Linked DNA regions of Stegostoma tigrinum. The protein of the gene in region 1 purifies or fractionates together with the protein of each later gene. This does not show direct contact. Links are inferred from orthologs where the notes say so. Each region holds a gene or a part of one and is shown in the gene's direction. Other genes may lie near its edges. The genes, in order: dnaja2a, wdr76 and endog.

Evidence for each region.
Region 2: the proteins of dnaja2a (region 1) and wdr76 purify together in Homo sapiens (affinity purification with mass spectrometry; 3 studies listed by BioGRID and IntAct, with this or other methods). This does not show direct contact. The link is inferred for Stegostoma tigrinum from reciprocal best matches to the Homo sapiens genes DNAJA2 and WDR76.
Region 3: the proteins of dnaja2a (region 1) and endog purify together in Homo sapiens (affinity purification with mass spectrometry; 3 studies listed by BioGRID and IntAct, with this or other methods). This does not show direct contact. The link is inferred for Stegostoma tigrinum from reciprocal best matches to the Homo sapiens genes DNAJA2 and ENDOG.

Annotation. Positions count from the first base shown.
Region 1 is NC_081369.1:30,468,336-30,472,085, forward strand, and holds the start of dnaja2a (dnaJ homolog subfamily A member 2a), read left to right. Parts: upstream 1-1,607; 5' UTR 1,608-1,673; coding exon 1,674-1,751; intron 1,752-3,750. UniProt on the Homo sapiens protein: Co-chaperone of Hsc70. Stimulates ATP hydrolysis and the folding of unfolded proteins mediated by HSPA1A/B (in vitro).
Region 2 is NC_081386.1:34,103,817-34,107,566, reverse strand, and holds the start of wdr76 (WD repeat-containing protein 76), read left to right. Parts: upstream 1-1,470; 5' UTR 1,471-1,676; coding exon 1,677-1,979; intron 1,980-3,223; coding exon 3,224-3,322; intron 3,323-3,750. UniProt on the Homo sapiens protein: Specifically binds 5-hydroxymethylcytosine (5hmC), suggesting that it acts as a specific reader of 5hmC.
Region 3 is NC_081382.1:42,357,155-42,360,904, forward strand, and holds the start of endog (endonuclease G, mitochondrial), read left to right. Parts: upstream 1-1,021; 5' UTR 1,022-1,278; coding exon 1,279-1,779; intron 1,780-3,505; coding exon 3,506-3,615; intron 3,616-3,750. UniProt on the Homo sapiens protein: Endonuclease that preferentially catalyzes the cleavage of double-stranded 5-hydroxymethylcytosine (5hmC)-modified DNA.

The DNA of each region.
Region 1 (3,750 bases):
GATCTAATTGCATCTGTTGTTCCTGATGTGGTCTCCTCTATACTGGAGAGCCAAACACAGACTCAGGGACCAGTTTTTGGAGCATCTGCACTCTGAATGCATCAACCAAGTCGACCTTCCTGTTGCCATCCACGTTAATTCCCACTCCCAGTCCCCTTAGAGATATCCACCTTGGCTCTCTCCACTGTCAGAGAGAGGTCAAAAACCAAACTGGAGGGACAACACCTGATATTTCACCTTGGGAGCTTAAAGCCCAATGGCCTCAGCATTGAGATAATAAAGTGTAGAGCTGGATGAACACAGCAGGCCAAGCAGCATCTTAGGAGCACAAAAGCTGACATTTCCAGCCTAGACCCTACATCAGAAAAGGAGGATGGCGAGGGGGTTCTGAAATAGAGAGGGGGGAGGCAGATCGAAGATGGATAGAGGAGAAAAAGCAGACAAGTTAAAGGGGCAGGGATGGCACCTATAGAGTGGAATGTAGGTGGAGAGGTAGGGAGGGGATAGGACAGTCTGGGGAGGACGGGCAGGTCAAGGGGGCAGGATGAGGTTAGTAAGAAAGAAATGAAGGTGTGGTTTGAGGTGGGAGGAGGGGATAAGTGAGAGGAAGAACAGGTTGGGGGGGGGGGGGCAGGGACGAGCTGGGCTGGTTTTGGGATGCCGGGGGGGAGATTTTGAAGCTTGTGAAATCCACATTGATACTATTGGTTTGCAGGGTTCCCAGGTGGAATATGAGTTGCTGTTCCTGCAATCTTCAGGCAGCATCGTTGTAGCACTGCAGGAGGCCCAGGATGGACATGTCATCTCAGTATGCAAGAGGGAGTTGAAATGGTTCACAACTGGGAGGTGCAGTTATTGCACACCAAACATAGGTCACCGTGAGGCCTCAGCATTGACTTCACCACCTTCAAAGTCCATCTATCTCCCAGCCTTATCCCATGTCCTAGCCCTCCTCCTCACCTCCCTGACCTGACCATCTTCCTACTCACCTAAACACTTCACCCTTCACATTGACCAATCACTGTAACCCACTACCTGTCGTACTGGGGAAACAATGGCCTAGTAGTATTATTGCTGGACTGTTAATCCAGAGACCCAGATAATGGATCAGGGTTCAAGTCCCACCAGGGCAGTTGGTGGAACTTGACTTCAATAAAAAAAAAATTCTGGAATTAAGAGTCTAATGATGACCATGAATCCATTGCTGATAGTCAGGAAAAACACATCTGGAAACTGCCATCCTTACCTGGTCTGGCCTACACGTGACTCTAGACCACAGCAATGCGGTTGACTCTTGACCGCCTTCTAGGCAATTAGGAGTGGGCAATAAATACTGCCTAACCAGCGATACCCTCATTCTGTGAATGAATTTTTTTAAAAATTCCACCTGCCACCCTCTCCCCACCCCAGTCTCGAACGAAGGGTTTCAGTTCACACATTCGCCTTTGCTGCCTCTCAGACACTACCGGACCTGCTGCGCTTTTGAAGCATCACACCAATAGACCCTGACTTCTAGCGTCTGTGGCGTAACGTCTCCAGGCCCCGCCCCCTCCCCCGCTTTGCCGCGCGGCGGTGACGTCAGCGCGCTCTATGTGAGGCCAGGGTCAGACGTCACTTCCGGAGCCTGCCAGCTTGCGGCCGGTGCTCGAGCTTCTTCCTCCCTCTCTGTCACGATGGCGTCGGTAGTGGACACAAAGCTTTACGACATCCTCGGAGTTAGCTCCGGAGCTACGGAAAACGAACTCAAAAAGGTGAGTCACGGCCCGCCGGTGACACGCACGAATCGAGATGGAAAACAATACTCTCCTCCTTAGCCAGTGCCTTTCGGCAAAATTTTAAGGAAACAGCGCACAGCCTGAAGCCTGACCGGCTAGGCCGCTGCCTGGATTGTTGGTGTGTTGTGGGTAGACGAAGTGGAGTTGGGGGAGAAACCGAAGTTCAGCGAATTTAACAGGAATGAACCAAGGATCTGGCCGTTTTCGGTGTGGTTGCTATCAGCAGAGCGGGGCCGCCTCACCTGCCGCCCTTTTGAGGGATTGGAGAGGTGGTTGGGGGGGTTGGGTCAGCGAGCCGTGAAGGAGGTGGGGCGGGGGGGTGGTCTGGGTGTTGGTATTGCCGGCGCTGCTGTCACCGGCGTCCGCTAGCGTTTCCCCTCCCCTTCCGAGCAGTAGCACGCCTGGGATTCGGAAACACCCGGTGGCGCTTCATTGACCGCGACACCATTTTGTGTTACTGCAACCACCATTCCCCCCGACCGGGGGCCTATCTTTGACCGCTACCGCAGCGCCTGGGACATTAGTGAGGCCTTTCAGGAGGGAAGTGATGGTGACGGCGGAAGTGTTTGAAATGTTGCTGATAAAATTAGCCGGGCTGTGATCTAGAAAGGCTCTGGTTAATGTCTTCCGTCGCGACCGGAGAGCTCAAGTGCAAGTAAGTTGTATTTCTGCGAGGTGAATCATAGATACAAAGTGGATCAAACCGAGCAGACCAGTATTTGAAGTCGCACTTTCGTTTGTTGTGTAAATATGTCATTATGTTCTTGAATGATTTGAAAGACATCATAATATTGCTCCAAGCGATGATCGGTAATTTTCGTTACTGTTAGCTGAGGGAGTTTAGGAAACTACGCGCATATTGATCTGTCTGGGACAAAAACAGAAATTGCTGAAGAAACTCAGGCCCAGCGGCATGTGTGGCGCGAATGGCGAGTTAAAGTTTGGGATCCAGTGAGCTTTTCTTCACCCTGTCGACTTTCTTCAGCAATTTGTTTTTGTTTCGGATATACAGCATTCGCCGTTCTTATAGTTTGGATCTGTCTCCATATCGTTTGGAAACGTGGAATTGCAGGTATTAGCTTTCTTGCGTTCTGAACTGAGATGTTTTGAGTATATTTCGTACCTTGCTCTTGAAAGAAAGAAAAACCTACCTTGGGCATCCTTTAATCATTTAGTGTCCTATGCAGAATTGGTATTTAGAATCATGGAATCCCTACACTGTGGAAGTCAGCCATTTAGCCCATCAAGACCACGCCAACCCTCCAAATAGCATCCCGCCCAGACTGATCTCCCTACCTGTAACCCTGCATATCGCATGGCTAACCTACTTCACCTGCACACCCCTGGGCTTAATGGGCAATTTAGCATGGCCAATCTACCTAGTTTGCATATCTTTGAACTGTGGGGTGAAACCAGAGCCCCTGGAGGAAACCCCACAGACATGGGGAGAATGTGCAAACTCCATACAGTCACCCAAGGGTAGAATTGAACCTGGATCCCTGGTGCTGTAAGGCTGCCATACTAAGTGCTGAGCTACTGTGCTATATATTTCAAAGTAACAAAAGGGCAATTGAACATTAGGTCATGGCAGTTTGTTACCTTAAGTAATGACAGCTGAATGTTGCCCTGAAAATTTGAGGCTGCTCTTGTGCTGACCTAACTAATTCATGGAAATGTCAAATTAATTGTGAAACGATTTATTCAATTTTGTTTTGGTGGGCGGGTGTGGGGATTTGGCAAGAGCTACTGCTTACTACTTTGAGACTTTGACTGGCCTAGTCTAAGGAGCTGCTCTTGTGGTCTCCATGGCCATTAAGTCGCATTGCTGTCAGTTATCTTGTAAAAATTTGTTTTTGTGCAAAGCCCCGGAGTCTGGGACTGTTACGGTATACTAAAGCTTGTAGCGCTGGAAGGGTTTGAAACAAAGCAAAAGGAGAGATTTGCATGCTGTACATTTAAATTTAGTTCAACATAT
Region 2 (3,750 bases), on another chromosome or scaffold:
ATAGCGTCCAGTTTCTAATGGGAAGAGGGAATGTGAATGTAATGGTGATTTGTATTTCAAAGGGGAAAAGAAGTGTAATTTTTGTGTTTGGTCACCAGCAAACATCCCCATTTCTGACCTCATTGGACTATAGCTGGAATACTGTGAACAGTTTTGGGTCTTTTATCTGAGGAAAGATATACTAGCAGTGGAGGTTGTCTGGAGAAAATCGACTTGATGCCAGGTAGAGGGATTTTGAGGAGAGGTTAAGTAGGTTGGGCTTATACTTACTAGGTGTAGAAAACTGAGGGGGATACCTCATTGGAACTCAAGAATCTTAGGAGATGACAGACTAGATGCTGAGTGGCTGTTTCCCCTTAATAAGGGACTCTATGAACACAGCACATGATTTGAGAGTAAGGAATTGCCCATTTAGCACATGAGGATTTTTTCTTGGAGGATAATGCATCAATGGAATTCTTTATCACACAGTGCTGTAGAAGATGTTTCACTAAATAGATCATGGCTGAGAGAGACGGCTTTATAATCATTAGGGGCATCTAGATTTATGGCTAGAAGGCAAGAAAGTGGAGGTAAAGATTATCAGAACAATCATGTTTTCATTGATTTGTGGAGTGGACCCAATGGGCTGAATGGCCTACATCTAGTTTTACAACTTATGTTAAGAGGAAAGTGAGTCCAAATGACACACACTGAAGGCAGAGAATGACAGAAAAGGGAGCAAATCCTGAAACTGTGCTTCTGTTACTGTGGCACATCTTGCTCTGCACCCAAACATCGGAATTGGCCTGCTCAGTCTCACCCAAGATTCATGACAAAAACCTGCAACCTTGAGTAAGTATCATCCTCAAATCAAAGCACCGCAGATTTAGACAACTAAATTAACCCTTTATGAATTTAATAAAGATAACTCGTGACTACACTTCAATACCAAGACTGAATAGAATGGATGATAACATTACGTTTTTCTGAAAATTAGAAGTTTTAGCTATCTTTGTGACAGCTAACATTACCCAACTGTATTTTAAACATTGAACACAAACGGGTTGTTGAGGATTGATTTATTTGTCCCAACCAATGTAGAATATCCTACAACAACAAAAGCACAGAAGGAGCTGATTCACATCATCCCTTGTTCTGCCTCTTAAAAAGGGCTATCAGATAAGTTTCACTACCTTTTTCTCTTAACTAGTGTGCAAATTATTTCGTATCAAGTAATTTCTATGTAAAAGTTTCTTTACAACCTGCTTTCCATTGGTTTTTGGGGCAGTGCGTGCCTGATCCAAACAAGGCTCACTGGACTTGAAACACGAACTCTTTCTCTCTACAGATGCCGCCACACCTGCTGAGTTTCTCAAACAAGTTTTGTTTCTGTTTCAGATCTTCATTCGCACTTCTTTGTTTTATTTCACTGTTAATTGCAGAGTTTGGTCGTTTCAATCTTCTCCAGCCGCTTTTCAGGTGAGCTAGGTATCCCGGGAGGCATTGCGGTTTCTAAGATGGCGGATGTGAAAGTGTCCTATCTCCGGCAGCAGGAGGCGGAGCGCGGGAAATGTAACAATTTATGTAACATTTTATGTAAGGACTGAAAAGTTACAGCTCCCCCGGAAGTGGCCGCTCGGTGCCGACTTTTTTCCATTTGAAACCAGAAAATTGACCGCATTTCCCTCCGGGCCATGAAGCCCAGGGTTGAGGACACTGCACTTGGGCAGCAGCCGCGAGCAGCGGCCTCGGGAAACCGAAAGCGGCGGCTCGAAGCGGCCTTCCCCGGGCCCGGAGGAGGAGAGGACCCGGACAAGAAGCCCCCGCCCCGGCGATCAAACACGGCGATGACCCCGGCCGGGCCTGACCAGCAGCAAATGCCAGCCGCTGAGGAGGGCACCTCTTCTGGGCCAACAAGCCCTGCAGAGACCGGCATGAGCACCTCAGAGCAGAGTGACTCGGATGGCTTCAGCGCTGACGATGAGTTTCCTATGGCGGTAAGAAATTAGAAGTTGTTAACTGTTAGTTTAACATCTCTCTTGTAGCTATATGTGTTTTCACCTCCACTTTTTAAGACTGAATAGCAACCTACAGCTTTAACCAAGTCCATCTGGCCTTTTATACAAATGCAAGTTACTTTTGTACTTGGACAATTAATTAATTGTCCAAGTATGATGAGTGGGACGAATATCTAATAAGATTTTACCAATAATTTTTGCGTGTCGTCACGATTTGTTGACTCCCAGGACTCTGTCTCCGATAGCGAGCGGGAGGCTCCCACCTGTGCTGGTCCTGTATGTTTAGTGTTTGTGCGCAGTGCGGTCACGGTCCATGTGAGAGCAGTGGGGAGGAGAGGGGCTTCACTGTGGTTTGCCATTAACCAACCATCTGTAATGAAAAGTGTGCCATAGTTTATAGATATTTTAAAGCAATCTGTACGAACCTATTATGAAACATGTTTGGGGAAGATGGCGCTTTATTATGGACTTTCTAACACAGAGCTAGAGACACAACCGCTTCTCTACCTGAGCCGAGTCTTCCTTATTTATATCCTGAGAGTTGATCACTCAACTAATTACTTCAGTCTAATTAATAATTCAAAGAGTCTGTTCAGGTACAAAGTCCCAAATAACCACCTATGCCATTAGATTCTATGATTTTACATTATTTGGGGTAATTGGAGTAACATCAAACAAGGCTTTAAACTGAAAGAATAGGGGATGCTGGAAATCCAAAACAAATAGCTGGAGAAACTCGGCAGGTCTGGCAGCATCTGACTTCTGAAGAAGGGTACCTGGATCTGAAATATTAACTGTGCTTTCTCTCCACATATGCCACCAGACCTGCCAAGTTTCTCCAGCAATTTCTGTTTTTAAGTCTTTAAGCTTTCTGACTTTTGTTTTATTCCTATTACACTATGGGTTTTCGTATTGTGAATTGCTTTGCCTTGTTTAAGTGTACAACTGATGATCCAAGTTTGACCAGCTTCCATAAATGGGAAAACTGAGAGGTTAATTCATTGATGTGCAAATGTATTTCTGCAGTGCATCTTTGTCTTTCTCTTTAGAGCAACTGCTTTTGTCTGAGAGGACCATGCTTTCCAACTCCTTGCCACTGTCCCTCTAATGGCACCGAGTTGTTGCTGTTGAACAGATGGACCGAGATTGTTGAGATAGTGAGTGCACAGGAATCTATTCAAATGAGGAGTTTGTACCTGTCAATGTTATGTTTTTTGTTTTAGTTTCATCGAAAATCTGAGGAGCTGTCAGTGTATGAGAAGAAGCGACTGAAAAACATTCAGGAAAATGCCCGGTTCTTTGCATCTTTGAATATGCTGCAGGTAAATTAATGGACAGCAGCAGCTCAAGACCAGCTACCGTCTGCCACTATCCTCTGTTTCATTATTGCTGTTTATCACCAGGCTGTTGAGCTGAGTTGGTTCTGCTTATGATTTAAGTCAATCAAACACAAGATTTATTGTCTCTCAGGAAGTGGTTCAGTCAGCATGACTGCTCAAAACCACACCTGGGTGACCAATGGTTTTCTAGGATTTGGAGCAATGCTTCAGACAGTTTGCTGTCCTGGATAGTGGTGTACCACATCTCAAAGACTGATGTAGACTAAATGAAGGAAAACTGTTTCCAGTGGGAGGGATGTCAATAAACCGAGACGTCAAGGTACTTGATGAAAGAATGCAAGACAGAATGAGGAAACCTTTCTTTTTAAGCAGCAAACTCTTGTGATTAAGACCACCCTGTCCTAAAAGGT
Region 3 (3,750 bases), on another chromosome or scaffold:
GTAGTAGATGGAAAGTATTCAGCCTTTAGCTTGGAGACCAGTGGTGTTCTGCAGGGATCTGTCCTGGAACCCCTGTTCTTTGTGATCTTTATAAATGACTTGGATGAGGAGGTGGAAGGATGGGTTAGTAAGTTTGCCAATGACATGAAGGTTGGTGGAGTTGTGGACTGGCTGTTGTAGGTTACATTGGGACATTTATAGGATGCAGAGCTGGGCAAAGAAGTAACAGATGGAATTCAATCTGGAAAAGTGTGAAGTGATTCATTTTGGAAGGTCAAATTTGAATGGAGAATACAGGGTTAATGGCAGGATTCTCGGAGCAGGAACAGAGGGATCTTGGGGTCCATGTCCATAGATCCCTCAAAGTTGCTACCAAGTTGATAGGGTTGTAAAGAAGGCGAATGGCGTGTTGGCTTTCATTGGCGGGGGAATTGAGTTTAAGAGCCGTGAGGTTATGCTGCAGGTCTATAAAACCCTGGTTAGTCCACACATAGATTGTTGTGTTCAGTTCTGGTTGCCTAATTATAGGAAGGATGTGGAAGCTTTAGAGGGGGTGCAGAGGAGATTTACCAGGATGTTGCCTGGATGGGAGGGCAGGTCTTATGAGGAAAGATTGAGTGAGTTAGGGCTTTTTTCATTGGAGCGACGAAGGATGAGAGGTGGCTTGATCGAAGTGTACAAGATGATGACAGGCATAGATAGAGTGGATAGTCAGAGACTTTTCCCCGGGCAAAAATGAGTATTACAAGGGGGCATAATTTTAAGGAGATTGGAGGAAGGTATAGATAGGGATGTCAGAGATAGGTTCTTCATACAGAGAGTGGTGCGTGTGTGGAGTGCACTGCCGGCAGTGGTAGTGGAGTCAGGTACACGAGGGACATGTAAGCGACTCTTGGGCAGGCACCTGGATGGTAGTAAAATGTAAGGTATGCAGGTTTGTAGAGTAGGATAGCAGGTCGGCACAACATTGTGGGCTGAAGTGCCTGTACTGCTAGTCGGTTCTGAGGAAGGGTGACCGCACTCGAAGTGTTATCTCTGTTTTCTGCTGCTGAGCTTTTCCAGCAACATTTTTTGTTTGTGGGCCTGCCCTGCTGCATGTTTCTAAATGTTTTGGCATCTGCTTTCCAGCATTCACGGGTTATTTCTGCCTTTGAGCTGAGGGTGGCTGGTGCACGTTAGCCCCAGCCCTGGTTACATTTTGGGCGCAACTTGTGGCGACAAAGTAACAAAGTTCCAGTTGATACACGGGGCGGTTTCAATTTCCCCCTCGGCTCTGACATGCGGAGGCTGCTGAGCTCCCGCTGGCTGCTGGCCGGAGTCTCCTTGGCCGCTGGCACTGGCCTGGGCCTGACCCTCGGGATCCACCGGAACCGAGTGGATCCGCTCAGCGGCTTCCCGGTGATCCCGGGCTTGGCGGCCGAGAGCGGACCCCCGGCGCTGTCAGGTTCGGCAGCGGCGCCGGAGGTCGTTAAGTTCGGCTTCCCGGCGGTGTCCCAGCTCCGGAGCCGGGAGTCCTACGTGTTGGCCTACGACCCCCGGACCCGGAACGCCTCCTGGGTCCTGGAGCAGCTGGAGGCCGGGCGCCTGGCGCGGAAGGGCTCGGAGCGCGGGCGCTGCGAGTTCCGAGAGGACGACTCGGTTCACGAGTATCACCGGGCCCGCAACAGCGACTTCAAGGGCAGCGGCTTCGACCGGGGTCACCTCGCCGCCGCCGCTAACCACCGCCACAGCCAGAAGTGCATGGACGACACCTTCTACCTCAGCAACGTGGTGCCGCAGGTTTCCGTCTCTATATTTCAGGCCATTGTGCTGCCCCTGGAAAGTGCCCGGGTTCTGAACTAGTGACATGTGCCACTGGTAAATGGGGCAGGGAATAAAATCCGAAAGAACTGCGGATGCTGTAAATCAGGAACAACAACAAAGTTGCTGGAAAAGCTCAGCGGGTCTGGCAGCATCTGTGAAGGAAAAATAAGAGTTAACCTTTCGGGTCTGGTAACCCTTCCTTAGAACGTGTGTGGGAGAAGTCATAGAATCTCCACAGCGCAGAAACAGGCCTTTCGGCCCCACGAGTCCACACTGACCTTCAGAGCATCCCACCCAGACCCTGTTCCCACTACACCACTCATCCCTGAATAGTGCAGGCAGCCCACCCTAACCTGCACACTGTGGGGACATTTAACATGGCGAACCCAGCACATCTTTGGACTGTGGGAGGAAACCGGAGCACCCGGAGGAAACCCACGCAGACACGGGGAGAATGTGCAAACTCCACGCAGACAGTCGCTCGAGGCGGGAATCGAACCCAGGTCCCTGGTGCTGTGAAGCAGTGGTGCTAACCACTGGGCCACTGTGCCACCAAGCAGCGGAAAGATTTTGCAGGGCTGTGGGAAATTACCAGGGTGGATTCCAAAAAAAAACTGCTGATGCTGTGAATGAGAAATGAAAACAAATCCCCGGAAATTGCTGCAAAAGCTCAGCATATCTGGCAGCATCAGTGGAGGGAATGATTAATTGTCTTTTTTAAAATTTATTCATGGGATGAGGGCATCGCTGACAGGGTCAGCAGTTATTTCCCATTCCTAATTGCTGTAGAGAAGGTGGGAGCAAACTGCTGTTTTGAATCGCTGCAGTCCTTGGGGTGTAGGGATCCTTGCAATACTGTTAAGGAGGGAGTTCCAGGACTTTGACTCAGCAACACTTAAGGAACAGGCATCATATTTCCAGGTTAGGACGGTGACTGGCGTGCAGGAGAAGTGCACCTGTCTATCTGCAGCTCTTGTCCTTCTAGATAGAAGTGGTTGTGAGTTTGGACAATGCTGTTGGATGAGCCTTAGTAAGCTACTACTGTACATCTTGTGCTGACACTGTGCTTTGGTTGTGAGAGTTGAAGGTGGTGGATGGGGTACCAGTGTACTGGGCTGACTTGTCCTGGATGGTGTTGGGTTTCTTGAGTATTGCTGGAGCTTGACTCATCCAGGCAGTTGGGGAGTATTCCATCACACTCCCGACTTGTGCCTTGTGGACTGGATTTGGGGAGACAGGAGGGGAGTTACTCGCATCAGAATTTCCAGGTTCTGTTCTGTTTTTGTAGACAAAGTGTTTGTGTAGACGGCCCAGTTAAATTATTGATCAGTGGTAATGCTCCACCCCAGGATGTTAATAGTGCCATTAAATGTCAAGGGATGATGGTTAAATTCTCTCTTGCTGAAGATGGTCATTGTCTGGCATTTGTGTGGCACAAATGTTACTTGCCAGCCCCAACCTGGATATTATCCCAATGTCATTGGCATCATGTTATGATGTAATGAGAACCTGTCATTATACTACAAAGCAATGTATGTCTATAAATCATGTTTACTTCAGCATTAATTTGTACTTCTGAGGAAGTACAAAAAATGTTAACTCTGTTTTTATCTTCACTGATGCTGCCGGACATTCTGAGCTTTTCCAGCAGCTTTGTTTTTGTTCCTAATTTGTACTTATTGTGCTTTATTTTCACTTCTAGGATCCTAATTTAAATCAAAATGCCTGGAACAACTTGGAGAAATACTGTAGGAGCCTGACCAAGTACAACAAGAATGTGTATGTCTGCACTGGACCCCTATACTTGCCAAGGTATGACCCATCTATCTGTCAGGTTAAGTCAGAACCATCACTGAAACTCGGCATTAATTCAGAAAATTTCAACAAAAATCTTCATATGGCTTAGAGGTGAAGCTGTTTCTCTGGTCTCCACAGTCCCTGTGTCAT